Linked DNA regions of Pelodiscus sinensis. The protein of the gene in region 1 interacts with the protein of each later gene in a pairwise test. Links are inferred from orthologs where the notes say so. Each region holds a gene or a part of one and is shown on either strand. Other genes may lie near its edges.

Region 1 (6,844 bases):
GGGACAGCTTTGTTCTCCTTGTGGAGTATCTGTAAAGCCATATTCTTTTCCTGAACAACCTGAAGGGCCTTGTTCTCTTGGAAGCCTATGTTCCTTTCTTGGAAGACTGGGAAAGGATTGTGCTCCTTCTGGAGAACCTGCTGGAGGGTGTCATCATAAATAACCTGGATGGCTTTGTTCTGTGTCCGTAGGCACTGGAGAGCTTTGTTCTCCTCCCGGAGGGCTTTGTTTTCAATCCGAAGGGCCTTGTTCTCCTCCCAGAGTGCTTTGTTCTCCTCCCAGAGAGTCCAGTCTTTCTGCATCTTCTTGCTGAAATGTTTCTGTTGGTAAGCAAAGGGTGGCTGATTGTAGGTCTCACTCACCCATTTGCCATCTACAAAGACAAATGTCTCGTCACTTAGCTTGACACGAGGGGCAATATAATCCATGTCAGGCTCTGCCTGATGCATAAAGTGATTCATTGGATCAAAAGCAAATGTGGGGATGACTTAGCAAAGTGAAGAAGTCTGTGTGAAAAGACTCTCTTCAGAAGTTATGCAGGCAATTGCTGTTCTTGGTGATGAGTAGCTAGTGAGGGGTCTGCAGAGACACTCACTCAGAACTGCTGGAATAGGGAACACAAATAAATAGGATTAGTTATGAAGTTCAAAGACAGAACTAAACTCAATTGGACAAGAAACCAGCAAATAAATCTATTTTCCAAAGTCTATTCTGTGATAAGCCTTCGATTGAATGGATATGTTGGATGAAAATGATTTTACAGACATTAGCTAAACTAAAACAACCTATATCTACTAGCTTTTTTATGTACAATACAGATTCATCCAACACCTCTATCCTCATTTTCTCCTGAAGCTCCTCTGTTGGTGCATTCCTCCCAGTCTGCTTAGTCTTTCTCCTTTCCTCTCCTTCTCTCAGTCTCTCCTTTGCATCTTATAAAAGGTTGTCTCTTCTACTGCCAATCCAAGCAGTCCCTCTCATGGCACCTTCAAAATTCACTAGTAAACCTCATCTTCTTCTACTCTCCAGATCCTGTGTACCTCCTCTTGATGAACTCTGTCTTATCTTATGAGCCCTTTAGAGCAGGGAACATCTCTCATTATAAGTTTGTAAGTCACAGTGTAGGTTTATGTCAATAAAGTGTGATTTTATATCTGTAGCAAGAACTCATTCTGCCCAGCTTAAGGTTTCTTCACCACATTACTTTTCCTTTCATTTCACAGTAGAGCTCTGAATGATACAGATTTCACAAAGAACGTTGTCAAGATTTTCAAAAGTGGGAGTCTAGAAATGGGTAAAACCCTACATAGGCATCTTAATATAAATGGCCTCGTTTTCAGAATTGTTCTGCTCTCACAAATGCCACTGCACACAGTGAGTGCTTGGGCTGCTCAGCACCTCTGAAAACATGGATCACCTATATTTAGGTGCCAGCATGTGGATTTAGGAACCTAATTTTAAACATCCAAAATGTTTAAAAATGTTGGCCTTTTCCAGAAAGTTCTAAAAATCACACGTAGCACACTGAGTTCTCTTTGCACTCAAGAAAAAGAAAACATGCTCATTTTTAACTTTTCAGTGGTCTGTATTGCTGCTTCCAGTGGGAACTGAGATCAGAATAATTGCCTCTGTCAGCAGCAGAACAAGCTTGTCTTTTGAGAATGAGCCCAGAGCATCACTGTGGTCAAGCCGGAGCTGTGGGATTAGTAATGTCTGGCTATTGCAAGCAAATTCTCAGCACAACCTTTCATAATTTTTATTTATGTCTAGGGTAAGTTAAACCCTTTTTAGGGCCAGATATTATTGTAGGCTTTAAAACCTTTTCCTCAGCTAATTCTAACATAATTCTACTAGACTTTACATTACTGTTAACTGAAGCAATATAGTCAAGTGCTTGTGATGATATCTGGGAATGAAAAGATTCCAATAATTTAGCATCTTTCACATAATCTCTTTTATCTCCTTTTCCCCCCATAGGTTTCTCCTTCACTAAGACTATCAACAGTTACCACATAAATTACAGGAATTTCTTTGACTTCTAAGGTTGTTTAATCTTTTTTCTAATAAATGCTTGATTCTAAATCTGTGACTAATGCATGTTTCATTTCTATACATTATTTCTTTTTCTTAATTTTGTATAGGCCTCAGCTTTCTTATTTGACCCCTTGTGTGTATCAGCTAAGAGTTGAGTCTTGGCTTTTTGTCTAATGGATCATTTAATAAGATGATCTCAATATCAGAGGAAAGATAGGGGGTTGAATTCTGACTAATTTTCGATAGCGTAGCATAAACACATTACCAAAGATCAGAGTGGATTCCCCATTGCTGATGCTTTTTAAATCAAGATTGGATATTTTTCTAAAAGATCTATTCCAGGAATTATCTAGGGAAAATTCCATGGCCTGAGTTATACTGGCGGGCATCTTAGATTATTACAGTTGTCCATTCTGGCTTTGGGATCTAAGAATCTATGAATCTTCTGTATATACTAAATGTCCGTGTCAAATTTACTGCTATTATCTCTGTGTCTCTCTGTCTCACTGATTCTCCATCTCTTTTCAAATCTCATTTAACATGGGATTGAATTATTACTGGGTTACTCCAGTTTTACACTGATTTCCATGGTATTACATCAATGTAAAACCTGAATAATGTCAAGTGGTGAACCATACCCATCTTTTCTCCCTTGCAGAAGCCTTTTAATTTCTCTTAATCTCAGTTATCATTTTCTTTCAGATCTGTATTAAACAGTCCTTATGCAGTTTGGGGCTACAATTACATGAGCAAAGCTAGCTAAAAATCAAGTTGACTAGTATTCTACAGTAATAGTGGGTACATCTGCTCACCTCTGTTTAAAATATAATTCTAGTGATGTCCTGTTTCTTTTGTCTTTATCTTCTCCAAACTCTCAGCTGGTTTATAACTGTAGTGTATCCAATGCTGAGGCCAAATGCCAGAAGCTGCCTCGATCTCTCCCTGCTCAAAACTGATTTTCAGCATGGCCAGAGACAGGACCATGCTTTTCAAACTGAGGCATGTAACAAGAAAGCCCCTTTATGACATAGACAGTATCTAAGTACATCCAGAGTAACAGTGTAATTGATGTAAATGAAAGGCATCTGCTCCCCAGGCCTGTTAAACTTCAGTAGGCTCTCAAGTGTTTCTCATCAAAGGTTTCCTATTATTATATTCTCATGACTTAGCCTCCACTGTTCCCACTATAATCTCTGAAGACTATCTGGGGTTTTTTCAGATCCCTAAGTCACATGTGAATAGAAGTTACTTCTTTTTCCTTATAACAAATCAAGTAGAGAATTCTCAAGCTCCTTCCCAAACCACGTTCTTCTTTTGCCTTCTCTCCTCATGTATGATCTTAGGGGCAGTTAAAATGAATTATTTTCCCAGTACTGTACTTTCTTTTTATAGAACATGATTTGCTCCATCCCCGATATTCAGACTAAGACCACTACTGAATTGACACTAAAGGTAACAAAACACCTCCCTTTTATCCAGTACGAGGCCTGGAGTAATTTTCCAGAATTAACTTTGAGGTTGGTGTTTTTCTTTGACTCCAAATTAAAAGAACTAGGACATTGTCAATTCTTGTTAACAAGAAAATAGACTGCTGAGAGTATCTGGGCATTACACCCAATGCCATTATCCAAAGCAGTTATTTGCACTTCCACATCTTTCCATTTTTAATTCTCTCTTATTATTTCTTATTTGCTGCATCTTTAAAAGTAGAATTAAGTGTTTTCTAATTTGAGTGTTCCTAAGTCGCAAACACTACAGTTAATTTCTTTCCAAGTGAAAACTTGGCCTTAGCCCTAATGTGGTTGTTCATGTTTTAGAAAAATTGTAGGTAAACAGTTCAGCAATTTTTGAATTATGGAAGGATGATAAACTTTGGCATACAAATTCTCACTGTAATTTCTTCCCATTTCTATTTAATCTCAGACAACACTAAAGCATCACTAATCACTATGGCAACTTCCTGAAGAGCATTCTGTTTACTTTCTTATTCAAGTATTCTACAGTGAAGAGCAGGAAAATCAGTTTCTTGAAGAGAGTTTGTCCTTTGACAGAAGGGGGTGGTTGAAGTTTACTTACTGGTTGTAGGGAGCTTTAGGAAAGATGACCGTTGAATTGGGTGATCCTTCTCAATGCCTGGAGAATCAAGGGTGTACAATATACTAAAGCAGAAAAGCGTTAGGGCTCATACTAGAGCCAAAGTTAGTGAAGATAAGAACAATCCAGTAACAAGTACTGATCAAAAGAGAAAAACCTGATTCTTTTGAATTCATAATTACTGCTAGGGTTAAAGTTTTGTTGTGTTTTATGTTTTTCTTTTCTTAATTTTTCTGCATATTTTCCTGCCTTTATTCCTAACTATACAACCTGGTGTGAATGAATCACCTTTCTATATGCTACTCTAGAATTTAAGACTTGAGCATACCTGATCTTAAGTCAATAGAAAAACTAAAACACACTTCAAAGGGCTTTTTATCAGCTCCAGAATTGGTTAATTGGGGGGAGGTACAGCAAGGTATTTGTAGCCTATTTTGTCTATGTTCCTGGCACACTGATTGATCAGAAGGAGTTACAGGGGATATCAAGGAATTCCTTCTGCTCTGAAAAGGACACAAGTGAATTGGGATAGCAGTGTACAAATTAGGGCTGTCAGCAATTAACACAAAACAAATTAATCACAATTTAAAAAATTAATCAAGATGAATTACAGTTTTGATCACGCTGTTAGTACTAATTGTTGTTACCTTTTCTTGAATATCCCATCCTTTCACAACATCCAAAAAATGCCCTATGAATGTTTCAGCATAATGTTTCTCTTCAGAATGCGTTACTGTTAAAGCAAATGGCTGCACTGTCCAGGTAGTATCAACCAGGTGTGCTAGGATTCCAAGAGAGCTGTGATTGCTCAAGGATGCCCAGTGATCACCAGTCAAAGCAACAGCTAGTACATTTTTCAGAAGCTCCAACTTTGTACTCTTCTCATTGTGACATAGATCATACATTCATGGTTCAATGTTTCCTGGAGAAGGCAAGGGTATGTCGAATTAGCAGATGCAATTTGGATAGTACCTCTTAGACCTCAGTCATTTTCCATGGTAAGTGCTCTGTAGTTCATAGTTACCCATTTTTCAATAGCACTGGTTAAGCTGTTGTACTTTGATCCATGGGCTTGTACCCATTCTGAAACTCTGTAAGCATATTCTTCCATGGCTGGCAAGCTTCATTTGCTGTCACTGGGTTATGTGTAGCATATGAACTGGAGGTGAAAGCTTGTGTAGTGTGTAAAAGGTACTGCAGACTTGAAGTACATCAATGTTATTGGAATTTAGCCTTGAAAAAATTGTAGCTATTTTTTTAAATCACTTCACAGCCCTACTTATCAAGCTCAGTTTTGAAACAAGGTTTTTTGTCCCTATTGCTCTTCTTGGAAGGCTGTTGTGAAAGGACCTTCCCTTTTGTCCCATGGCAGCTATTCTGCTTAAGAGCCTTTGGTGAGGGACCTCGTCAAAGGCTTTCTGAAAATCTAAGAACACTATATCCACTGGATCCCCTTTATCCACATGCTTGTTGAGCCCCTGAAAGAATTCTAATAGCTTGGTGAGGCATGATTTTCCTTTACAAAAAACATATTGAATTTTCCCTACCAAGTATAAATTAAGTGCATCTATATAGCTGATAATTTTGTTCTGTACTATAGTTTCAACTGGTTTGCCCAGTATTGAAGTCAGACTTATCGGACTCTAATTGCTGGGATCACCTCTGTAGTGATCCTCCTGTCATTTGGCACAGAAGCTGATTTAAAGGATAGGTTACAAACCACAGTGAGTAATTCTGCAATTTCATATTTGAGTTCCTCTAGAACTCTTGAGTGAATATCATCTGGTTCTGATGACTTATTACTGTTATTTTATCAGTTTGTTCCAAAATCCTTTCTAAAGGAACAGTTCCTCAGATTTGCCACCTAAAAGGAATGGCTCAGGTTTGGAAATCTCTCTCACACCCTCAGTTATGAAAACCAATGCAAATAATTCATGTAGTTTCTCTGTAATGATTTTTATCATGCTTGAGTGCTCTGTTATCATCTCGATTGTCCAGTGGTTCCACTGGTTGTTTAGCAGGCTTCCTGCTTCTGATGTACTTAACAATTTTTTTTGTATTACTTTTTGAGTCTTTGACTAGCTGTTCTTCAAATTCTTTTTTGGCCTTCCTATTTATTTATATTCCTACACTTCATTTGCCTGAGTTTATGTTCCTTTCTATTTCTCTCACTAAGATTTAACTTCCATTTTTTAAAGAATGCATTTTTATCTCTCACTGTTTCTTTTACTTTCTTTAATTTAGCCCTGGTAGTATTTTTTTGGTTATCATACTACAATTTTTAATTTGGGTATATATTTAAGTTGGGTTTCTATTATGATATCTTTTAAAAGTTTCCATGCTTCTTGCTGAGATTTCACTTTTGGCACCGTACCTTTTAATTTCTATTCTACTAACTTCCTCATTTTTATCTAGCCCCCTTTCTGACATTAAAATGTACAGTGTCGGGTTGCTGGAGTGTTTTCCTCACCACAAGGATGTTCAATGTAAGTAAATTATGGTCGCTATTTTTACCAAGCAGTCTAGCTATATTCACCTCTTGGACTAGATCCTATGATCCACTTAGGAATAAATCAAGAGTTGTCTTTCCTCTTGTGGGTTCCAGGACTAGCTACTCTAACAAACAGTCATTTAAGATGTCAAGAAACTGTCTCTACATCCTGTCCTGAGGTGACCTGTACCCAGTCAATAAGGGGACATTGAAATCCTCCATTAT
Region 2 (7,737 bases), on another chromosome or scaffold:
TACACATCCGGAATTTCTTACTATTCTTCTTCTTAAGTGTCTTTCATTCTAATTTCCTCCTTCCCTTCACCCTCATCCCCATTAGTTCCTTTTATATCACCATTCACGAGAGCTCCTGGAATGAGGGCTGTTGAGAACTGTCTGGATAATCAATGGTTCTAGTTTCACTTCCTTACACCACCATCATTCCAGCCCTGAGCTCCTTACATTTAACGAGTCCATCTGCAATACTTGAAAGAATCCAAATACTCCCATTAGCAAACCCTCTTTAGATCTCAGTCTTTCCTTATAGCTCACCTGCTTCCCTTACTTCTACAGCAGAGCCAGCATCCCGCTGTTAACCCGTCAATCAGATTTAAACAGATATGGGTTGGCAGGCACCCTTTGGCAGAAAGTTAAGAGAGATTAAGATGTTGCCTAGTTTATTATTATTATTGGAGGACTTTCATGCTGAAAGTAAAAAGCTGACCTTTTCCCCCTCAAGTCAAACAAAATTTGCACTGCAACCATTTAAGTTTCATGGATCAACCATTGTGGCTTACCCACAAAAATGAAATCAGAGGGAAATACAGACCCTATCACATGAGCCAGACTGGAAAAGAATTAACCTTGCTTAACTCTAATGTTATTATTTAGCCCCATGTATCAGGATGCAGATGTGAGAGAGGGGTTTTTTTTTTTTTGTTACTAAACATTTTGTATCATTTATTTAAAATGTAGTGCAAGTTCTCTCCCCTCATTCACAGGTTTACTTTTGACTGCTGGAACATTACAGCCCATTACCATCACTGGATCAGTTTATTTCAGAGGGCTCTGACAAAACTGTGGAATAGTATAAAAGCTTCTAAGTCCACAGATGCAACAACAGAGCATTCAGCTCCCTCCCCACAAGCTGGAGTGTGCATTTAACCTTCTAGCTGTTACAGATGTGACCCCCTCCCACAACAAGTAGGCACACAAGCAGGGATATGATTTTTCCTCATGCCTCAACTCACTCCATTAAAGCTTGTGTGACGCTGGCTCTTACCTGGCAAAGGCAGTTACTCCAAAATTGAGTGGGAAAGGGTGCTTCTGATATTTGCCTTTCCAAATTAACCCCCCCCCCCCATTCCTCAGGAAGAGAAGTTTGATATTTATACAAACATAGCATTCACTACAACACTACCAACTGTAAGGCTTTTCAGTTTGCAATTAACTAAAGTTGGCATGACGGGTGACAAGCCAATGCCACCTGACTTTGTGGCAAGTGACACAGTTATATGCAGCAAGACGGCATGACGTTCTGAAGTGGTGATAGGACTTTGATCATGATGACCAACAACATAATCACCCATCAGTCTCCGCAAAAGACAGCAACCTCTGTAATGCTCCTATTCCCATACACATATATGACTGGCATAGCTTGGTTAGAGATGAGAGGGCTGGAAAGTGATAGCAACAGATAAAGGAGAAGAATTAAGAATTAGTTGTGTTACCTAATATGGGCTTGGAGGAATGGACCATTTTCTGAGCAGCATGGACTTCTTTCCCCAAGTATTGTCTATGCCAATGAAAAGCATATAAAATGACCTTTGACCCAGCAGCCACCCACATGCCAATCCCCAAAGCAAAGGCCACTATTCAAAAACACAGTTGTAGACAAAAATGACCATAAAATACCGCCAGAATCAGTGAAGTCCAGGTATATACATATTAGTTTCTGACAGGCAATGGTGCTGGCTGTGACACAGTCTTTTCAATTATGAAGAAAATGACAAGACTAGAAGGGTCTTAAAAGAGTTTTAAAAAGTCAGTATGATGAGCACGTATTGGGAAAACTGGGAAAGGCCATCACCATGCACAGCAGTAGGTGACCACACTTTCACTACTCGTTGGTGTTTTGTAGATAGATTTGAAATATCTGGGGGGTGAGAGTAGAAATGAAAAGGCCTCAGTAGGATAACCCTGGCAAAAGTTTTGCAGTGTTGTTACAGGATGCCTGTATGGATTGTTTCACTCAGAACCACCACCCCAGCCGTGCACAGCAAATAACCTTTGACAGCCAACTCTGACAGCTAAGAAGTGCAGGCTGGCAGAGGTGGGAGTTATCCTCTCCTTTCACCCCAGCCCCACATTACAAAAACTTCCAGCAGCATCTTATTTCTCACTGGATGTATTTCTCATCTTATTTCTCACTTCTTTAGGATGCAGGAGGCTATTGTGGTGAGTTACCAGTTTCCTTTTTTCTTCAGCCCTTCTTAATACTTTACACGTCAGAATTAATTTCCCTTTCAATTAGCTAACTTAGTCTTTAACTCTGGCCTGCTTCCCCGCTCCCAAGTGGGGCCACATGAATGTCTAGCAAGTCCTGACAATAAGCACATGGTTGAGCCAAAGTTGCCTGCAGTCAGCTCTCTCTCATCGCCACATCCACACATCCCCCTTCTTCCCAGCCTCTTTTAAAAAGTAAATCCTTTCCCACAAGAAGCCGAGGCGCCCTTTGTGAGGCAGTTTAGCAAAGCTGTGAGCTCTTAGGCATTAATAGCGGGTTTAGAGCCGAGGAGGGAGCTGGGGAGGGGTGGGATAGGCGAGAGGGTAAACACGACAATAGGAGGGGACAACAGTCGCCGCGCGGGGAGAAGAGACCACACTGAGGCTGATGGAGTTAGAGGGGCAGAGAAGCGAACCCAGACCAGCAAGCTCCAGGGAGGCGAGCACAGCGCTGGCTGAAGAGACCGCGCTCCGCGTGCCAGGGGCAGCGAACGCCCTGCACCGCACGATGGAGTTTAGCAGCGCAGGCAGGCAGGCGAGCCCGGACCGCCCTGCGCGCGCACCCCAGCGTGCTCCGCTGCGCACGGCATCCGCGACAGGCACTTGCAGCAATGCCCCCGTCTCCGCCGGCCGCGCGCGCGGCCTCTCCGGCCGCGCGCCAAAGGAGCCGGGGCGGGCCCGACCCTCCGGCGTCCCACCTACCGTCCTCCTTGTCCAGCACCATGGTTCTGGGGCTCGCGGGAAACAGCTGCCTCCGCCGCTGGCGTCCGCTCACCCTCCAGCCGCCGCTCCTGTGCGCCAGAGAGGGGAAGGGACGGGGCGCCCGAGAGGGCTTGCAAAGCGCTGCCCGGCGGCACGCGCACCCGGGCCGTCCTCCCTGGGTCTGCTCCCCACCCCAGCCGGCGAGCGGCGGCTGCACGACTTCTAGCCTCGCTTGCGCCGGGCTCGGCTGGGGCGCTCCGCTAGTGCCAAGGCAAGCGCTCAGCCCCTGCCCTCCCGCCACGACTCACAGGCCCGTGCGGAGAGGAGCGCAAGAATTCTGGAAAGATAAAGGAGACCAAATCCAGGGCCGGTTCTCCAGCGCCTTCCCAAGGTGCACAGCCAAAAAATTGGTTTGAATGGAATTGCATATGATAGCTCACAAGCACCCCCCCCCCTCCTCCTTTCTGCTGTTGCTACTGCCGAGCTTCCCAGGCTTCCGAAGTGCTTTTCTCTTTATTTCACTCTAAAGCTAAAATTATATTCAAAGGAAGGGAGGTAGGGGGAGGAAAAATGCGAACCTATCACTGAACGCAAAAGCACTTGCTGCCTGCCTCTCTCAATTTATGTGCTTTGCACTCTCTCTTGCTGCTGAATAAATGCGCACATTTCCCAGGGACCCTCAGATTCCCCTGTTAATTAAATCAATTCATTATGCTCAGATCTGATTAGCAGCCTCTTCCCCCCCTCTTTGAATCAATTATTCAATACACAAACATAATTGCCTGTGCCAGAGGTGTCTAAGTATTAGCTTATTTAACTCCAAGGACACTAATTACCCCTAGGGCAAGGGAACTTTTCTCATTAATTCTGACAAAACACAAAAGCACAGTTAAAGTGTGTGTGTGTGTGTGTATATACGTGTGAGAGAAAATGCAGGAGTCTATAGCAAAGGAAAAGAGGCATTGCTTTAACACACGTGTTACTGTATAAATAAGATCAATTTTCTTTCTACTTCTCACAGATTATTCCCCACATCTCCCCCTGGCTAAACTTTTTAAAAGTAAAGTACAGAACTGCATAGCAATGAATGTAGGTGGCATCACTAGCTTGAAAAGTGTTTTCAGCTACACACACACACACAAAAAGATAAAGAGTTGATGGGGGAAGGGAGAGCAAAACAGAATTTGCAAACTATTTTGTTTACTATGGCAAAAAACTGATAAAACTGTGTAGCAGTCAATTTTCTGTATTTTAAAAAGCTGTGAAAGAAGTAGTCCTATGAAAACAGCAGATAAGATGGCAAATAATGTACCATGTATTGGTAACAGTTCTGAATTGTTTACAATCTGAATTAATGTCAATGCCTACTATTAATGTACTTGCTTCCTATGTTTACCATAATGGGCTTGATTTCCATTAGTTGAAACTGGAACATCATTCATTAGCATTTCCATTAGTTGAAACGGGAACTTGCAGGTTACCCACATTTTAATTCCATGTGAACTTCCATTAAAAAGCATTTATTGATTTCCCCCCAAAATTGGTTTTTACTTACCAAAGACCCTTATTGTTAGTGTCCTCAATCTGCACAGGGGTATTGAAGATTTTGTTTCCCCAGGCAATACATGAGCTGATTCATTATTCCCCTTGCCTATCTAAATCTATCAGGAAACTAATATTAGTTCTGCTCATATACTAAGCTTTATTTCATTTCCCCCCACTGTCTTGATTTTAATTTTTTTTAATCAGGACGGTTTCTGTTGGTGAGACACACAATTTTTGTGATATCTGGAAATTTTTTTAAAATGCCAAAAGATTTGTCTCCTGGGATTTCCTCCCACTTCCACATTACCACATTTCTCATGTTGGGGCTGCCATGATTAGAGTCGTTCATTTGACAACGCTACTCATTATCTTTAAAGCACACATTGTACGTGTCAAATAAAGCCAAGAAGAAAACCTGTTACATTTATTGCTAAGCAAGTTTAACCAAAGTTACTTGCAAATACAACTTACAATATAATATTGTGTTCCATTAGTGCAGTACTTTTTTCTATGAGTATAATGATTTAAAAAAAGCCTGCAGCTTTATAACACAACAAACTCTGTTAATTTTCTGATATTTAATTTCCAGTGTATGGCATATATTGTACCCACATGAAGTTGATCTGTCTAACTTAATGAATCTTTTTGGAAACAACACAAGAAATCTCAAACTTGGAGAAACCTTTAGCTATGTTCATGAACCGCTAATATATATTACATTTTAAAGGCCCAAATGTGCTTCTGCTGTAATCAATTGAAACTTTAACTGCAATGGTAGTAGGATCAAGACCTAAGTATGCAACTTTTTCATTTTACTCTGAGCTTTTTGGAGGTACCAGAGTTTTGTTGAAGGATACTCTTACCAAAGAGGCGTATGTTTGGATACGCTAAGCTGCAGGACACTATGGAAGATGCAAAGGGAGAAGCAGCCAGAAACTGAGTAAAGGGTCTAAACTGTGAAATGAATATTGATTTTGGTATCACGTCTCTAGAAGTGATGTTCACAGTTGAATTCAGGAAGATCGTGGTGTCTGGGGATGAGAAAGAGAAGAAGAGGCAACGGACAAATTGAAGTGAGGTCTCTCAGCCAAAGCCAAGCTATTATAAAACATAAAACATGAAATAATTCTCCATGCAAACATTTTACAGTTTAAATGATACGCACTGATCCCTATCTTTACATTTATGCAGGCTTAATAAAGATCCTAGGATTAACCACTATGTAAAAAGTCTCCACTTCAGAGAAATGCTTTCTACAATATAGTGGCGCATTGCCCTGTGTGCCTTTTACAAATATATTCAGATAATCCATTCAGAAAAGGAAGCATTTGAGTACTTACGCGAATGTCTGGAGTCTAAAAACACTAGACAGGAAATACCATGAGAATGGCCTTCCTTAAGAATTTTCCCATACTAATAAATAAAATGAAATAAATAATACAATATACTACTACTACTATTAAGTAGTGTTGCCATAGCCCCAGTTTACCTGGTACTATATAAATGCACAGTTAGAGTTCCTGTTCAAAGAATTTTCATTCAAAATAGAACAAAGTGTATGAAGAGAAACAGGTTCCGAGATGTGAAAGTGACTTCCCCAAAGTCACACTGTAGGCCAGTGGGAGAGCTGGAAATATGAACCACGTCTCCTGACTCCCAGCCCAATGCTGTAGCACTAGTCTGCATTGCATGCATGCTCAGAACAAGACTAGACATGATTAATATGCCACTCAAGGCTTTATGCACTATTGTTCATATTATGATAGCACCTACAGTGGCTAGGGTCCATTGTGGTGCAGGCTAAACAAAACCACATGTAACAGACAGTCCCTTCATTGAAGTGCTTGCAGTGTAGATAGAAAAAAAAAACCAGACAAAGAGAATGAGGGAAAAGAGAAGTACAGAAAGTTGGAGTGACTTGCCTGGGATCACACATCAGCTGAATTGTAAGCCAAGAGTGAAATCCAGATTTCCTGTGTCTCAAATCAATTCCCAGTTGAATAGATTGCAGTTGCCTTTCTTCTTTTGCTTTGGCCACAAGTAGCAGAAAAGGAAAAGCCTAAAAAATGATGGAGTATAGCAGATGAAGATTTCCTGGGGAGTGAACTTGTGTTGTATCCCAGTCAATGGAAAGACCTCCACAAGTTTTCCTGTGCTTGAATGAGGCAGAGACCCAGTAGAGGAAAAAGTATACAAGTATGCAATTAACTATCATATCATAATGCATACTCAAAGTGGCAGAATTAGATTTCATTAGCCATCTTAATTTTGGCATTTGCTAATGTTTGAGTGCCTGAGTTGTCAACATTATGTGGTGTTGTTTTAACAATTTTTAAATGTAATTTCCTAGGTTTCAACTGCACAGAACAGATTCCTAGCTCATCTGAAGAAGTGGGTTTTGCCCACAAAATGATTTTATACACACACACACACATACACACTTGTTAGTCTCCAAGGTGCAACAGGACTACTCATTTTTAAAGTTACAGACTAACACAGCTACCCTCTGAGACTTCCTTGTACTTGAGTTAGATTTAGCTGATTATTCCTGAAGTGGCATTGTTGAGTGAAACAAAATACAGGACTATGTAGCACTTTAAAGACTAACAGGATGGTTTATTAGATGATGAGCTTTCGTGGGCCAGACCCACTTCCTCAGATCAAATAGTGGAAGAAAATTGTCACGACCATATATACCAAAGGATACAATTAAAAAATGAACACATATGAAAAGGACAAATCAAATTTCAGAACAGAAGGGGGTGGGGGGGAGGTAAATGTCTGTGAGCTACTGATATTAGAGGTGATAATTTGGGGAAGCTATCTTTGTAATGGGTAAGATAACTAGATCCTTTGTTCAGACTCAGGTGTAAAGTGTCGAATTTTAGCATGAATAACAGTTCAGAGGATTCTCTTTCAAGTGCAGTCTTAAAAGGCTTTTGAAGCAGGATGCAGGTAATTAAGTCGTTGAGACAATGTCCTTTCTGGTTGAAATGGCAAGAAACTGTTTTTTCTTTGTGATCCTGTCTAATATCTGTTTTGTGGGCATTGATCCTTTGGCAAAGTGTCTGATACATTTGTCCAATGTACATAGCAGACGGACACTTTTGGCACGATAGCATAAATTATATTTCTGGATGCGCAGGAATATGTGTTCTTGATCTTATAACTCACTTGGTTAGGTCCAATAATGGTATCAGCAGAGTGAATATGTGGACAAAGCTGGCAATGGGGTTTGTT
Region 3 (7,694 bases), on another chromosome or scaffold:
AAAAGGCAAGTGCCCTGGTGGTCACTCCATCCATAGTAATCACAGCTTAAATGCGAGATAGCATCCATTCAGTGTGGACGCTATCTTTTGAAAAAGCACATCACTTTTCGATGCACTTTTGCTGTGTAGACGCTCTCTTTCGGAAGAAGTTTTTTCAGAAGATCGCTTCTGGAAAAGCTTCTTCAGAAAGAAGCCTGCAGTCTAGACATAGCCTGAGTCTTTCCATACTCAGCAAGTTTGCCAATTATAGTTAGGGTTGCCAGGTGTCTGGTAAAAAAAATTCAGAAAATACGGACACCTAAAATGTCCGGTATTTTCTGTTTTTTCCCCCTGCCAGGAGGCAAAAATACCAGACACCTTGCAACCCTACGACACACTCAGCACCTGGGCCCAGCCCCCGTTTCCCCCACCAGGCCCCCTCCCCCCGCTTACCTGGTTCTGCAGAGGCTTGTCTTGTGGCTATAACAGAAAAAACAAAATAGCCACAAGCAAAAAAAGTCTCTTCGTAAAGGGGCCATGCTGATTTTTTTTTTTTTTTCTTAACTGCTGTCAGGGTCTTTTTTTTTTTTTTTTTTTTTTTTTTGATCAACAACTTTGGTCTCCTTTTTTTTCCTCAACAGAATTTTTTTGGGGGGGGAGTGTTCGGTATTTTTGGTTAAACCATCTGGCAACCCTAATTATAGTGGCTCCTCTCTGACTTTTCAGCCACCTTTATATGTAGTGGACACTAGAACTGGACACAGCATTCCAGCAACTGTGGCAAACACAGGGAGATGCTCAATACTGCCCACTTTATACATCCACCTATCACGTCAGCTCTTTGGGTCACAGCATCTACCTGGGAGCTTGTGTTCAGCTAATTAACCACCATGGCTTCTAGTCCTTTTCAGAGTCATGGCATCCCAGGAGAGAGTCCCCATCCTGCACATACATCCTACATTCTTATATCCATATGTAAGGTTGTACTTTTAGGAGCAATTACAATGCATATTGTTTGCTTGCCCCCATTGTTTGCTTGCATCATGTGATCCAGATCGCTCTGTACCAGAGACCTGTCCCCTTACCACTCTCCCATACTCTGTGTCAGCCTCAAAAAAAATTATCCCTATGATACCCTACCAGATACACACTGGCTCAGCGAGGATTCCCCATTTACAATTACATTTTGAGATCAATCAGTTTGCCAGCTTTGAATCCATGTAATGAGGGCCACGTTAATTTTGTTTTTCTCGTTCTTAAATTAAAATACCATGCTGGGCCAAGTAGGGATCTTAGTGTATAACCGAGTAACCGTTCAGCTTATTGGTTGATGGTCTTGGTTACACTCAGCCACCTCCCCGGCAGCTGAGTGGGCAAGGGCTGACCTACGGGGGGGAGGCTTCGCTGTGGCAGGGGCTGGTGTCTCCACTCCCAGGGAGGTTTTGCTGCAGGCTCTGAGATTTTCACAATATACACCAAGGGTAGGCAAATACCAGACCACGGGCCAAATCTGGTCTGCCAGGGTTAGCCCCTGATGGGCCCACACGCTGCCATATTTACCTGTACCTCTGTGGGTGTGAGGCACAGCTCCAATGGAAGCTGTGATCGCTCGTAACTGTGGAGGTGCAGGTAAATACAGCAGCAACGGCCCACCAGGGGCTAATCCTGGTGAACCATCACAATTTTATTGCCCACCTCTGGGTTACACCATTATCCTGTTACATGATGTTTAACACAGCTACCCCTCTGATACTTGACTTGGTCCTAGGAATGTTAGTCTGAATCTGCAAAAGCGGCAAGGAGTCTATAAGGTGCCACAGAACTCCTTGCCGCTTTTCTAGGACCAAGTCCGATGCTTTACAGAAATCTATTACATTAACACTATGATCTTTGTCAACCAAACTAGTAATCTCCTCCAAAAAGTCCACGTTAGTCTGACAAGATCTGTTTTCCATAAACCCATGTTGATCAGCATTAAATATAGTACCCTCCTTTAAGTCTTCATTAATCAATTTTCATATCTGCTGTTCCATTATCTTGCCTGGAAGCAATGTCAGGCTAGCAGCCCTACAATTACACAAATTATCTCCTGTACCCTTTTTAAATATAAGCACATTAGCTTTCTCTTACTTCTCTGGAGCATGCCCAGCATTCTGAAACATACTGAAAAGCAACATTCATGGGCCAGAGAGCTTCTGGGCCAACTCTTTTAAAACTCTTGGATGCAAGTTACTAAGGCTGCTGATTCGAAAATATCAAAATTTGAAAGTTTTGACAGCTACTGTTTAACATTCTCTTTAGTTACTAATGAAATGGAAAAAAAGTCATCATCTTGGCTTTTTTCTAACCATAGAACAGAAATATTTATTTTCTGTACTGCTGTTGTCAAAGCTACCATTTTCATTCAGCAATAGACCAATACTCCTATTAGGACTCCTTTTGTTCTTAGTATACTTTCAAAACCTCCTTAGTATCTTTTTCTCTGCTAGCTAAAGATTCCTCCTTGTGTCTTTGCGTGCTTCCTAGCTTCTAATGTAGAGTCATCTTACCCTTTTCCCCATTTATTATATACTGAGAAGTTATTTTTGTTTGGTTTAGAGGGAAAGTGAAAGCAACTACAAAAAACAGTTTGTTTTCTTAAAGACAGTTCCTGCCCCAAAGAGCTTACAGTCTAAATTTTTTCCTGCCTGTGTCTTTTGGCCATCTAAGTAAATGTTTTTAAACAGTCCCCAATTATCACATGCTTTTCTCTCTTCAAATTCTTACTTCCTGCTGATTTGGCTCCTAAAGACTTTGAGCTTTGTGAAGTTGGCCCCTGTGAAGGGGGTGCACTCACCACCGTAACCCCCCTGCCATCTGTCCTCAGGAATTGGCTCCCTCAGCGGGTAGGGGAAGCAAAATGCAGGACAATGTAGCACTTTAAAGACTAACAGGATGGTTTATTAGATTATGAGCTTTCGTGGGCCAGACCCACTTCCTCAGATCAAATAGTGGAAGAAAGTAGTCACAACCATATATACCAAAGGATACAATTAAAAAAACTAAAAAAGGGTGCCTTCTCTGGGGTGGTGTCTCCCCTCTTTACTCCCGGCTGCGGCATCCTCTTTGCCACACTGCCCTCCAGCAGTGCCCAAGTCTGTCTCTGAGCCCCCCTTCCGGGGGTCGATGTTCCTTCATTGGGCCTTCTTTCAAGCCCTGCAGTCTGAGGATTTGCTGGCCAGAGCTCCCCTAGCCCTGCCTGGCCTCCCCCAGCCCTGCCCTAGCTCCAGGGAGCCTGAGCCACCTCCCTCCCCAGCCAGGTTCTCACTACTCCCCTTTCACAGCAGCAGCCCATCCTCTATTATAGCTCCCAGCTGGGCCCTAATGGACTAGTACAGCCTCAGCTGGGCTAAACTCCCTGGCCCTGGTTCAGGCCGGAGTCTGCCCTTAAAGGGCCAGTGCAGGGCAAGCGCCCTGTCACAGCCCCTTTTAAAGCACCGTGTGTATTTGTATAACTGGTTTGAAGTTTATGCTTGCGTGTACATAAATAACTAAGGTTCTCACACAGAATCATAAAATAATAGAACTGGAAGGGACGTTGAGAGGTCAAGTCCAGTCCCCTGCATTTACAGGTCCAAGCACCATCTAAACCAGGGATGGACAATAACGTGTGAAGGAGAGCCACTTCCCAAATTTCTGAGGGCTGCCCCAGAAGGGGCGAGGCCTCGGGAGGAAGAGGTGGGGCCAGGAGGCTTCCTGTGCAGCTTCACCCACAGACCCTAATTGGCCAGGGTGTGGGGGAGAGCACTGAAGTCTTTCCCCACCTCCCCCCTCCAGCACCTAGGGTACTCTAGACTACAGGCTTTTGTAGACAGAGGCTTTGTCGACAGATAAGGTCAACAAAGCTTCTGTCAACAAAGAGCGTCTAGACTACATCCAATTCTGTCGACAAAGTAAGCTGTTTTGTGGACATGAGAGTGTAGAAACAAAGCACAGTGTAGATGCAATAACGCCTTCTGTTGACAGAACTCTGTCGACAAAAGGCATTATTCCTCGTAGAATGAGGTTTACTGCTGTCGACAAAACTGCCGAGTTCTGTCGACGTTGTGTCTACAGAACTCGGCGGTAGTGTAGATGCAGGTATCATTCTGTCAACAAAAGTCCACCTTTGTCGATAAAACCCTGTAGTCTAGACACACCCCTAGAGAGAAAGCAGCTTGTGATTCCCTCTGATGACTGGGACCCCTGGTGGGGGGAGGAGACTTGACACGGAGGCTGTCTTGCCCACCCCTGATCTAAACCATCCCTGACAGGTGTTTGTCTAACCTGCTCTCAAATATCTCCAAGGATAGAGATTCCGCAGCCTTCCTAGGCAATTGATTCCAGAGCTGAACATGCAGCGAAGCTGCCACTAATTTGTGGTTCACTGTTTAATTTGTTTTTAGCTGCCCAAAGGAGGGCTAAAAGAGAAATCCCCCCTGTGGGAGCCAGCACTTTTGGCGCTAGGAACAGCAGTGGGACATGCTTCTACAAGAGCGCCATGGGTTTTGCAAACCAAGTCATTCCGCAAAATAAAGGCACACGAGCCCCAGGCATTGGCCGGACGCTGTGTGTCCGGGCGCCTTGGCTTGTGCAGGGGTCTGCCTGGGTGATCCGATTGCAGCCGCGAGACCCACGTGCGTCCTCCGAGGGAATCTCGCCGGGATTAAAACCCCCGTCCCCCAGCCCAGGAGCCAGGGGGGGCCACCCAGGCTTTGTGGGGTTCCTCGGCTGCGCAGGTCCCTCCCGGTGCGGCGTGGAGCTGCGGGGAGGGGGGGTAGCGAGGAGAGCCCGGTGGGAACAGCCCTGGGCCAAAAGGCTGTTTGCGCACAGATCACACCCACAAGAGTCACCGCGGACGGAAGTGGGGCTGGGAATGTCTGCATGACTCGCTCGCCCGGCTCCCAGCGCCTCACTCCCTCGCTCCCTCTCGCCCTGCCTGGCGCGCCCCGCTGCAGTCCCCATGGGGAACACGACCTGTGTCCCCCAGCCGGCGGGGCGCTTCCGATACTCCTTCAGCAGGAAGCCTTCCCTGAAGAAAGAGTAAGTACCGGCTCGGGGGGGTGTCTCTGGCCCTGGTTTAAAGCGCCCCTCGGTTCCCCAGCCCGTCTCCGGACAGTCGCGGGGGGCTACACTCGGGCGTAGCCAAATGTGCATTGAACGCGCACGATCTGGCGGGGGGTGGGAGAGCCCGGGGCGAGCTCGGGTTCCTGCCAGGCTCGGAGAAGAGGCGTGGGACGGCTCCGGCGGGCGGCGGCCCCGCGAGGAAGAACAGGGCCGGCGTCTTTCCTTTTCCTTGGGAAAAGTAGAGCTCGTCCCCACGTGGCTCGCCGGGGAACGTGCCGGTGGCTGCTGCTGCTTTGAGCTTGAGCAGGATCAGACAGACCCCAACCCCTCCCTTCCCCCCCGGGATGTCTAGTTGCATCATGTCTCCCAGCCTTGTCACCCTGAAGAGGGGGACGTGCCAGACACTCCAGGAAGTCTCGTCGGGACTTTGGTATTGGTATCAGTGGTACCTGGAAGGCGCACCGATACCAGGGTGATGGGCAGCAGCATAACCCCTGAGAGAAGCAGATCGTTGAGGTTTTCCACGGAGCCGCTAGGAAAGTCCCATGCAAGTATCAGAAGTCTTGCAGCTCTCTGCACCCACCCCTTTGCTAAGTCCCCTGATCCCAGCAACACCATATATTGCTTCCTGCTATGCCCACCCATGTGTGTGTGTGAAGTGGGACCTTCCCCAGGCTGCTGCCTTCCAGGCATGTTTGATCCGGACCATAGCGTGAGCCAGGCCTTTGTGGAGGGCAGTGGTTTTCTTTTAAGTGGTCTGAAGCTGGAGAAAGCATTGTGTTGTTGTATTATCTTGCACCCTGGAGTTCAAGAGAGCATTCCGAAACCCTCAGGGCTCTACAAACCAACAGCCAGGATGTCAGGAGTGTTTCTTGTCTTCTTGACATTGATTATATCAGCAGTAACATAAGGGGGGCAATAAAACGGGCCGGGGTTCCCCAGGGTTAGCCCCTGGTGGGCTGCTGCCACTATATTTACCTGTACCTCCATGGGTATGGGCAATCGCAGCTCCCATTGGCCAGAAACAGTGATCCATGGCCAGTGGGATCTGTGATTCCCCCCCCCCCACACACACACACTTGTGGCAGTGCAGGTAAATATGGTGGTGTGGGGGTCCGCTAGGGGCTAACCCTGGCAGACTGGATCCGGCCCGTGGGCCTGTATTTGCTCACCCCTACTCTAAAGGGAGGCCGTTGCAATGGAGTAAAACAGATGCAAGGGAAAGGAGAATCAGACCCAAGATCACTGGCCCCGAGAAGTGTGCAGCATGCCGGCCCAGATCCTGTGCAGTGCGCCTCCCATAGACCCCACTGAGCTCTAAGGTCACTTGGCTGCTTGCAGGATGAGCTCTTCAGTCCATTGCAAATGACCAGTGTTACAGTGTGGTGCAATGTGGTTTAAAGAGAGAGGAAGCCTTGAAAAAAGCAGCACCCGTGACCTGCCTGGGAAATTGCAGCTGGGGAGCTGCAGCAGTGCGCATTAACACGGGTGTGGGTGTGCGCCCCCAGGCACAGGGATGGAATTTTACTGGGATTCAGAGGACAGCATCAGGAGAGGCACAAGATGGAATAAAATGGAGTGGGTGAGTGCTGGTTTGACACTTCCAGCGCAGGCTCCATCTTTTGCCTGGGGGAGTTGGGAGGCGAGGCTGGAGATGCAGACAGGGCTTGTTGATCATTTTGGTGACGCAAAGGTAAGTAAATAAACCAAAGCCAAGCCAACAAGTGCCATGCAAAGCCATTAACATTCTTGCAGGCTGATTAGCAGCTGTTTATTGGGCTGGGATTATTAGAAGGCCTGTGACAAACTGCTTGCTTGGCTCCCCAGCTTCCTTATTTCTGAGTGGGGGGTTTGCAATGTCCCAGCTTTGATCTCAGCGTGTTTGTTTTCTTTGCAGACAAGACAGCAAGAAAAAGCTGGCCAGCCTCTTTGGTATTGAATCAGGGCATGAGAGAGACATAACGGCAGATAAAATACTGCAGTATATTCCTGGGAGGGTAAGTACAAACCCATCCAGCCATACCCTTGAATGAGGGGAAGTTATTCTTACCTGCAGCGGGGTTCACTTGAATAGGAGCTCCCATGTGTATGAGATGAGCAGGCATTTCTGCACGTGTCCAGGCGAGGGAGATCAGAGGCTGGGGATGGGGGATATTTGTAGGAAGACCAGGGATCAGAAGCAGAGAGCTATCTCCTTCCAGGCAGGCTAGCTCACCACTCCAGTTCTCTAATTCAGCATCCTGTGGGTGGGGATCACGAAGTCCTGTCATCAACTTGAAAATCTGGAATCTGCAGTGCTGGCAGGGAGGTAGGCAGAGCCTCACCTGCTCTTAGGTCGTTTGCTTCTAGGTCGAGTAAGGATGAGGGGAAACTAGGGAGAGCGTACAAAAGAGAGCGATTCATTCCCATGCTGGAATGAGATGGAGCTGCAAATGTATTAGCAATCAGCCACAGGAGGGGGAGAGGTAGGGGCAAGCCTGCCTAAGGCACATCCAAACTTTGCAGATGCATGGCTCATTCCCAGCATTCTCAATGGAAGAAGAGCTTATGTGACTAGCAGTAGTGTTGATTGGTATTATGGTCACATCTACAAGCCACAACCAAAATCAGGACTCTGTTGGACTGGGTGC
Region 4 (7,083 bases), on another chromosome or scaffold:
CCCCCAGAGCCACCCAGGGAACCCAGGAGTCCCAACCGCCGGCCCCCCATCTCCCCCAGAGCCACCCACGGAACTCGGGAGTCCCAACCGCCAGCCCCCCAGCCCCCCCAGAGCCACCCACGGAACCCAGGAGTCCCAACCGCCGGCCCCCCATCTCCCCCAGAGCCACCCACGGAACTCGGGAGTCCCAACCGCCAGCCCCCCAGCCCCCCCAGAGCCACCCACGGAACCCAGGAGTCCCAACCGCCAGCCCCCCAGCCCCCCCAGAGCCACCCACGGAACCCAGGAGTCCCAACCGCCAGCCCCCCAGAGCCACCCACGGAACCCGGGAGTCCCAACCGCCGGCCCCCCAGAGCCACCCAGGGAACCCAGGAGTCCCAACCGCCGGCCCCCCAGCCTTGCCAACCAAAGGTCACTGCAGGGCAGCGGCAGAGCCTGGCTTGAACTGGGGCCACCTACCCTCCTGCAGGCCCCGCCCTGCCCACCCTCTGGTTCGCCCTCGGCCCAGGGCTGGCTTGGCCCACGGTCACACGGAGCGGCAGGGGCTTTGGGCTCCGCTCCAGGCCCAGGAAGGAAGCAGCCGGTTCCAGGGGCCCTGAGGAACACGGAGCTCAGGGCAGGCGCCAGATCCCTGTGGCCATGAGCTGGCCCTGCCAAACGTTTCCATGGCAGCAGGGGCAGGCCCTCCAAGCGCTCTCCCTGCCTCTGGAGGGAAGAGCCTGGCTTTGAAGGTGACCTTCCCCAGGACCCATGGGGAGGGAGGGAGGCACTGGACTGAAATCAGGGGAGGGCAGCGCGAATGGGCTTGCTGCGGATTGGTGTCCACCAGCCCCTGCAGGCGATGGGGGGACCGCGGAGCAGGGCTGGCAATTGGGCTGTGTGGTTTGGTTAGCTTCTGCCAACTCAGAAGCCCAAGAACCACTTGGGAGCAAAGCTCTCTGTGTTAACGCTTTCACAGTCCTTCCGCCAAGGGCTGAGCGTGCTCACTCCACTGCCCAGCTGTGCCCCCCGAAGCCAAGAGACACCGAACCGGGAAGATGTTCCCAAGGGCCAAAGCCAGAGCACGGGAGCTGCAGGCATCCCACAGACGCTAACCACAGGTCCAGGCACCAGATTCCTCCCTTTCCAGAGCAGCACTCCCTCACCTCCCGCTGCTCTGGCCTGGCCAGGCCAGGTGGGAGACAGGGCTCACTGCGCTGAGGGCGGGGCTCCGGGCATGGCACTAGATGGCACAATAGCTGGGTAGGGAAATCCGACTGAATCCCAGCCTCTGCCCTGCTTTGGGGAGGGCACGTCTGCCACGAGCGGCAGCAAGGAGCCAGCCAGGGCCAAACCTGCCCGGCCATCGCTGGCAGGGGCAGACCCCAGTCAAAGAAGGGGGCAGCAGTCGGTCCCGGCTCTGACCCACCCGGCTGGTGCATGGAGAGAGGCCAGCCCTGGGCGTCCCCCAGGGAACATGGGAAGTTGGCTGCCCAGCAGTGTGGAAGGAGTTAACTCCTGTGTACCCAGCCACCTGAGCACTGCATGGGCCGCTCCTGGGTATCTCCTGGTAAGGGTGATGCTTCCTGGGTAACCGGTTAACAGTTCCCAGCCCAGCAAGGAGAGAGCCCCCTGGTGCCCCCGCAGGACAGCACCCCCTTGCATGGAGCTGGAGCAGAGAGGCCCCGGGGCACTGGGGCGGTTACCTCGCTTGAACTCCTCCAGGACGGCGTCCAGCTTGGTGTCATTGAAGACAAAGTGCAGGGGATGGTTGTAGAACTTGATGATGGTGCTGAGGGGCACGCGGTCGTCAGGGTCCACCAGCGCCAGGTCCTTGACGTAGAGCATGTCCACCAGGTTGGTGCGCTCCCCCTCGTAGACGGGGATGCGGGTGTAGCCGCTCTGCATGACGACGGACATGCTGTGGAAGTCCAGCACGGCGCCGGCGCTCAGCATGAAGCACTTGTCCAGCGGCGTCAGCACGTCCTCCACCGTTTTGTTGCGCAGGGCGCCCTTGCTGAACTCCTCGCGCACGAACTCGCTGTACGGGTCGCTGCTGCGCACCATGTCCAGCACCTTCTCCCGCAGCAGGCAGGTGCTGGCGTCGTGCCGCAGGGCCAGCTCCAGCAGCTTGCTGAGCGGCAGCGAGATGGGGAAGGTGAGCACCATGCAGAGCTGGGTCAGCCAGAGCCCGCGGGACGCCAGCCAGAGCCCCCACCGTGCGCTGAGGGCAAAGGGCAGCACCTCGGCCAGCAGGAAGACCAAGGCGGCCGCGGCCAGGATGGCGGGCGCCAGGGCCCGCAGGGCCCAGCCGATGAGCACGGCCAGCGCGGCGTTGGCCAGGGTGCTCAGCAGCAGCAGGGCGCAGAGGGCCAGGGCGCCCCGGTGGCGCACCCGCTGCAGCGCGGCCCCGGCCCGGCGCTCCGCCTGCGAGCCGCACTCCCGCAGCACGGCCAGCTCGGCGGGCTCCAGCCACAGGGTGCTGAGCTGCAGGGCCCGCAGCCCCCCGGCCAGCGCCAGCAGCAGGGCCAGCAGCAGGGCCAGCAGCCAGGGCGCCGGCCCCTCGTCGCCCACCAGCACCGCGTCGCCGGGCGCGGCGGGGGCCCACGGGCGGCCCGGCCCCGCGCGGCTGCACAGCTGGTAGGTGCCGGGCGGGCCGGCGGGCGACACGGCCACGCGCACCAGCAGCGCCGCGGGCGCGCCGGGCGCGCGCTCGTCGGGCTGCACGTGCAGGGCGCGCGCCGGGCAGGGCTCGCCGGCGCGCGCGAAGGCCAGCCAGGGCCCGCTGCGGTTGCGCAGCCCGGTGCCGTAGAGCCGCAGGCGGAAGCGGGCCCCGGGGCGCGCGCGGACCAGCCCCCCCGCCGCCCAGGCCCCCTCCTCCAGCCGGAAGCCCAGCACGTGGGGAGGGGGCGGCGCGGGGGGGGCGGAGGAGGGGGGGGGCCCGTCGCGCCCCGCGGCGCAGCCCAGGCACAGCGCGGCCACGGCCCAGCGCAGCCCCCAGCCGCGCGCCATGCCAGTCAGCTGACGCCCCCCCCCCCGCGCGCGCACAGCCTCGCCTGCCGCGCGGGGCCGGCCAATCGGGGAGCGGGGCCGGTGGGCTCCGGCCAATGGGCGGAGGGGGCGGGCCCAGGCGAGGGAAGCGCAGGTTGGGCTGCGCCGGGACATAAACAAGCAGGGGGCGGGGCGAGCGGGCTGGATTTAAAGGGCCAGTGAACGCAGCCAGCACCGAGCCCCCCCACCCCCATGGACAGCACATAGAGCCCCCCCCACACCCCTGGACAGCGCCCAGCGAGCCCCCCCACACCCCTGGACAGCGCCCAGCGAGCCCCCCCACACCCCTGGACAGCGCCCAGCGAACCCCCCCATGAACAGCGCCCAGCAAGCCCCCCCCACACACCCCCATGGGCAGCACTTAGAGCCCCCCCCCACACCCCTGGACAGCGCCCAGCGAGCCCCCCCCCACACACCCATGGGCAGCACTTAGAGCCCCCCCCACACCTCTGGGCAGCGCCCAGCGAACCCCCCCCATGAACAGCGCCCAGCAAGCCCCCCACACACACACCCATGGGCAGCACTTAGAGCCCCCCCCACACCCCTGGACAGCGCCCAGCGAGCCCCCCCCCACACCCATGGGCAGCACTTAGAGGGCCCCCCACACCCATGGGCAGCGCCCAGCGAGCCCCCCCCCACCCCCATGGGCAGCACTTAGAGCCCCCCCCAACACCCCTGGACAGCGCCCAGCGAGCCCCCCCCCACACCCATGGGCAGCACTTAGAGGGCCCCCCACACCCATGGGCAGCGCCCAGCGAGCCCCTCCCACCCCCATGGGCAGCAGGTGCCACAAGGATGCTAAGGATTGTGGTTTTCTGTAGAATTTCCAGCAGTTACATTTACACCGGGGGGGGGGGTGTGTGTGTCACACTCGTTAGGTTTTAAGTTGGCTCCCGGTGAGCATCAGCTCCGGCCTGGCCCCGTGCTGCTGCCACTGACAGGGAGGCAGCAGGGGTGGGGTGTGGAGTTGTTAGGATTAACCAGTAACCCCAGGCTTATTGTTTAAACACAGATATGTTAACATCCCTGCTACCAAGCCCCCCACAAATGGGGCAGCCCCCCCGGGCCTCCCCCTGGCAGTAGGTACAGAGTCCCCCCACACCTGTGGGGCAGTGGGTACTGAGCCCCCACGTACAGGGCAGCGCACAGCAAGGCTCCCCCCAAAGCCATGGGACAGCAGGTCAGAGGGTACAGAGCCTCCCCCCAAGGGCTGCACCGTGCATCTAACTAGCCCCTTCAAAAAGGGACAAGCCTGAAAAAACCTGGACAGGTGGCACCTGCCTGTATCCAGGGGCCTTATTGGAAAATCCTGGGCACCTGCCCTCTTCTATAGGCCCCGCCCCCAGCACTGTGGGCAGGGCCATTGGACCCATGTTCCAAATAAATATAGGGACCAATTAATGACAAGCAGGTTCAGGGCAGCTGGGTAGAGGTTCAAAGCGAGGGATCCAGAAGGGGGAACCCCAGCCACGCCCACTGATCCTCGAAGTCATCTGGGCAGCCAGTGGACACTGCCCTGGGGAACTCCGCCCGGATACATGAAATTAGGGAGGAGTGGAAACAGGACCCACCGTCCCTGAGCACCTCCTTGCGCAGCATCCTCCTCCTGCTGCTGCTGCTGGTGGCCTTGGCAAGGAGGCCCTGTGGCTTTGTGGGGCCACACGTAGAGGGCGCAGAAGTAATGAGGGGCAGGGAAAGATGCAGCCAGAGCCTCAGCAGGAGGAGACAGATTAGGGGCTGCAACCTGATGCACCAGAGGTAGGCGGGCGCCAGCTTCTACCTCACGCCTCTAAGGGGACCGGCCTCAGGGATGGGGCTGAACCGTGCCCGGTCCACGCCCGTGCTCGTGGCTCTGTGAAGAAGCTGCCCACTGACATCCCTGGCCAACCGTGGAATCAGGGAGGACTAGAGACTGGCCCATTGGGGGTCCTCACCCTCCACAGGGGGTAGCAATCCCGCCACTTGGGGCTGGGCCAGGACGTGAGGGTCAGGAAATGGAGCGTGTGCACACTTGGTCCGTGGGTGCAGGTCTCACAGCCGGCTGGGATTGCAAAGGGGAGGAAGCCAGGTGTGTGTGGGGGGGGGGAGAGGACTCGCGGAACAGGGGCCCAAGAAAAAGGCTGGAGAGCTTGCAGTGAGGGGGAGCAGGACGTCCCCTCCCATGGGGCCCGCTGTAGAAAAACGAGAGAGGGACATGCACCTTCTGAGGCATGTGTGGGGGCTCTGAAGGGCGGAGAGCCCCATGCAGCAACTGAGCACTTGGGATCTACCCAGTCCCTCGGTCACGTCCAGGAGCCCTGGTGGTTCCTGCCAGGACCAGTCTCTGCCACACCGAGGGGGACTCTGCTGCCTGTGCCTGCAAAGACAGGTTGTGTAGCAGGGGCTCCCTGAGAAGAGCGTCGAGGGCCGGAGGAGGCCCTGGCAGAACACTGGAGCTCAGTGAGCTCTCGCAGACCTCTCAGGAGGGAAAAAGCTGCCGGTTGAATTGGAGCCCTCGGAGGCGGCGAAAAAAGGCCAACGTGCTCCTGGCCGGACGGTGTGAACCATCCAGGGGCCTCCGCTGGGCCTGTGGGGGGAGGTACAGACCTGGCTGTGCAGGCAAACCAAGCCCTGTCCCCCATCCTCCAGTATCCAGCGGCCATGAGACCTGCCCATGCCTGAGTCCGGGACTGGAGGAACTTCTCCCTGCCCAAGGCAGAGCTGAGCAACCTGGAAGGGCCCAGGGGCTCAGAAGGGCAGGATCTCACCTCCTTTTCCCCTTGGCCATGGTTAGCCTGCAGACAGCAGGAAGCCCAGCCCCGTGATCTACGCAGTTGGTGCTTTAAAAGGCTGGAACGGATGAGGAGCCAAATCAGCTGGGAGGAAGGATTTACTCAGAAAAGCAAGAATGATCATGGGAATGTTACCAGCTCACAAGAAAGCCTCAAGCCCATTTACAAGGGAGAAGGCGGAATTGGGTAAGAAGTCAGCCTGGGTTGGGGGGAGTCAAGGCAGCTATTTCGAGGGGAGTGGGAGAAAGGGAATGTTGACATTCATGCCTAGAAAGCAGAAGCCAGGCAGGGTAGAAAATCGATGAGCAGCCCCAGGACACAGGCATCCATTGTGAGTCCAACCTTGAATAAAGTGTGCCGTTCCCATTGCCTCATCTGAGAAAGATTGATTAGAATTTGAACAGTATAAAGAAGGGTGGCAAACAAAGATTAGGGGGTCTGGGACAGCTTCCATGCCAGGGGAAGATTAAAAAGACTGGAACTGTTCAGCTCAGCAAAGAGAGGACTAAGGGGGACGTGATAGAAATCAATAAAATCATGACTGGTGTGGACAAAGTGAATAAGGAATTATTATTCACCCAACGATATGAATAGGCAGCAGGCTTAGAACAAAATAAGGAAGTACTTCAAACAAGGCACAGGCAACCTGTGGAACTCCTTGCCAGGGGATAGTGTGAAGGCCAAACCTTTAACGGAGTTCAAAAAGGAAAATCATGGCTATTAGCCAAGATTGCCTGGGATGCAACTCCAAGCTCTGAGTGTCCCTAACCTCTGACTGCCAGAAGCTGGGAATGGAGAACAGGGTGGATCACTTACAATTTCCCTGTTCTGTACATTCCCTCTGACGCATCTGGCACCAGCCACTGTCGGAAAAGAAAATACAGAGCTAAACGGGCCTTTTCTCTGACTCCATCTGGCTCGAGGGCCTCGTGCGGAACCTGCTTTTCCTGTTGGGGTCTTACACAGGAAGCCTCGAGGGCACTGCACACACAGCCCCCAGCCCTGGCCAGTCACCCAGGCAGCAACGGAGCAGGCCCTGGTGAAAGCAGCCCCATGCTGCAGCCCCCACAGTCAGAGCAGGAAGATGAGGGTTTGTTTTAGTTGTAAAGTAGGTTTAGAACCCAAACTCTGCCCTGTCCCTTTGCATTCTTAGCAGCGCCTGGAGCCAGGTTGGGTGCTGAGGAGCAGGGCAGGGAGCAGGTTAGCTCTGGAGGCGGCTGCCTGTCACTCAACCAAGGCCCTACCAGCTTGGGCGAATGGAAAATGAAGAAGCAAATATCAG

Evidence for each region.
Region 2: the proteins of CBY2 (region 1) and LMO1 interact in binary tests that used the Homo sapiens proteins (3 or more experiments, as listed by UniProt). The two-hybrid records come from large-scale screens. The link is inferred for Pelodiscus sinensis from reciprocal best matches to the Homo sapiens genes CBY2 and LMO1.
Region 3: the proteins of CBY2 (region 1) and PLEKHN1 interact in binary tests that used the Homo sapiens proteins (3 or more experiments, as listed by UniProt). The two-hybrid records come from large-scale screens. The link is inferred for Pelodiscus sinensis from reciprocal best matches to the Homo sapiens genes CBY2 and PLEKHN1.
Region 4: the proteins of CBY2 (region 1) and CNNM3 interact in binary tests that used the Homo sapiens proteins (3 or more experiments, as listed by UniProt). The two-hybrid records come from large-scale screens. The link is inferred for Pelodiscus sinensis from reciprocal best matches to the Homo sapiens genes CBY2 and CNNM3.

Annotation. Positions count from the first base shown.
Region 1 is NC_134711.1:287,239,819-287,246,662, reverse strand, and holds the start of CBY2 (protein chibby homolog 2), read right to left. Parts: upstream 3,015-6,844; 5' UTR 2,847-3,014; intron 605-2,846; exon of another isoform or gene 602-604; 5' UTR 462-601; coding exon 1-461.
Region 2 is NC_134714.1:108,227,199-108,234,935, reverse strand, and holds the start of LMO1 (rhombotin-1), read right to left. Parts: upstream 3,013-7,737; 5' UTR 2,975-3,012; coding exon of another isoform or gene 2,953-2,974; intron 1-2,952. UniProt on the Homo sapiens protein: May be involved in gene regulation within neural lineage cells potentially by direct DNA binding or by binding to other transcription factors.
Region 3 is NC_134733.1:14,660,630-14,668,323, forward strand, and holds the start of PLEKHN1 (pleckstrin homology domain-containing family N member 1), read left to right. Parts: upstream 1-4,675; 5' UTR 4,676-4,960; coding exon 4,961-5,040; intron 5,041-6,961; coding exon 6,962-7,061; intron 7,062-7,694. UniProt on the Homo sapiens protein: Controls the stability of the leptin mRNA harboring an AU-rich element (ARE) in its 3' UTR, in cooperation with the RNA stabilizer ELAVL1.
Region 4 is NC_134738.1:5,725,320-5,732,402, forward strand, and holds the start of CNNM3 (metal transporter CNNM3), read right to left. Parts: upstream 3,007-7,083; 5' UTR 2,992-3,006; coding exon 1,686-2,991; intron 1-1,685. UniProt on the Homo sapiens protein: Probable metal transporter.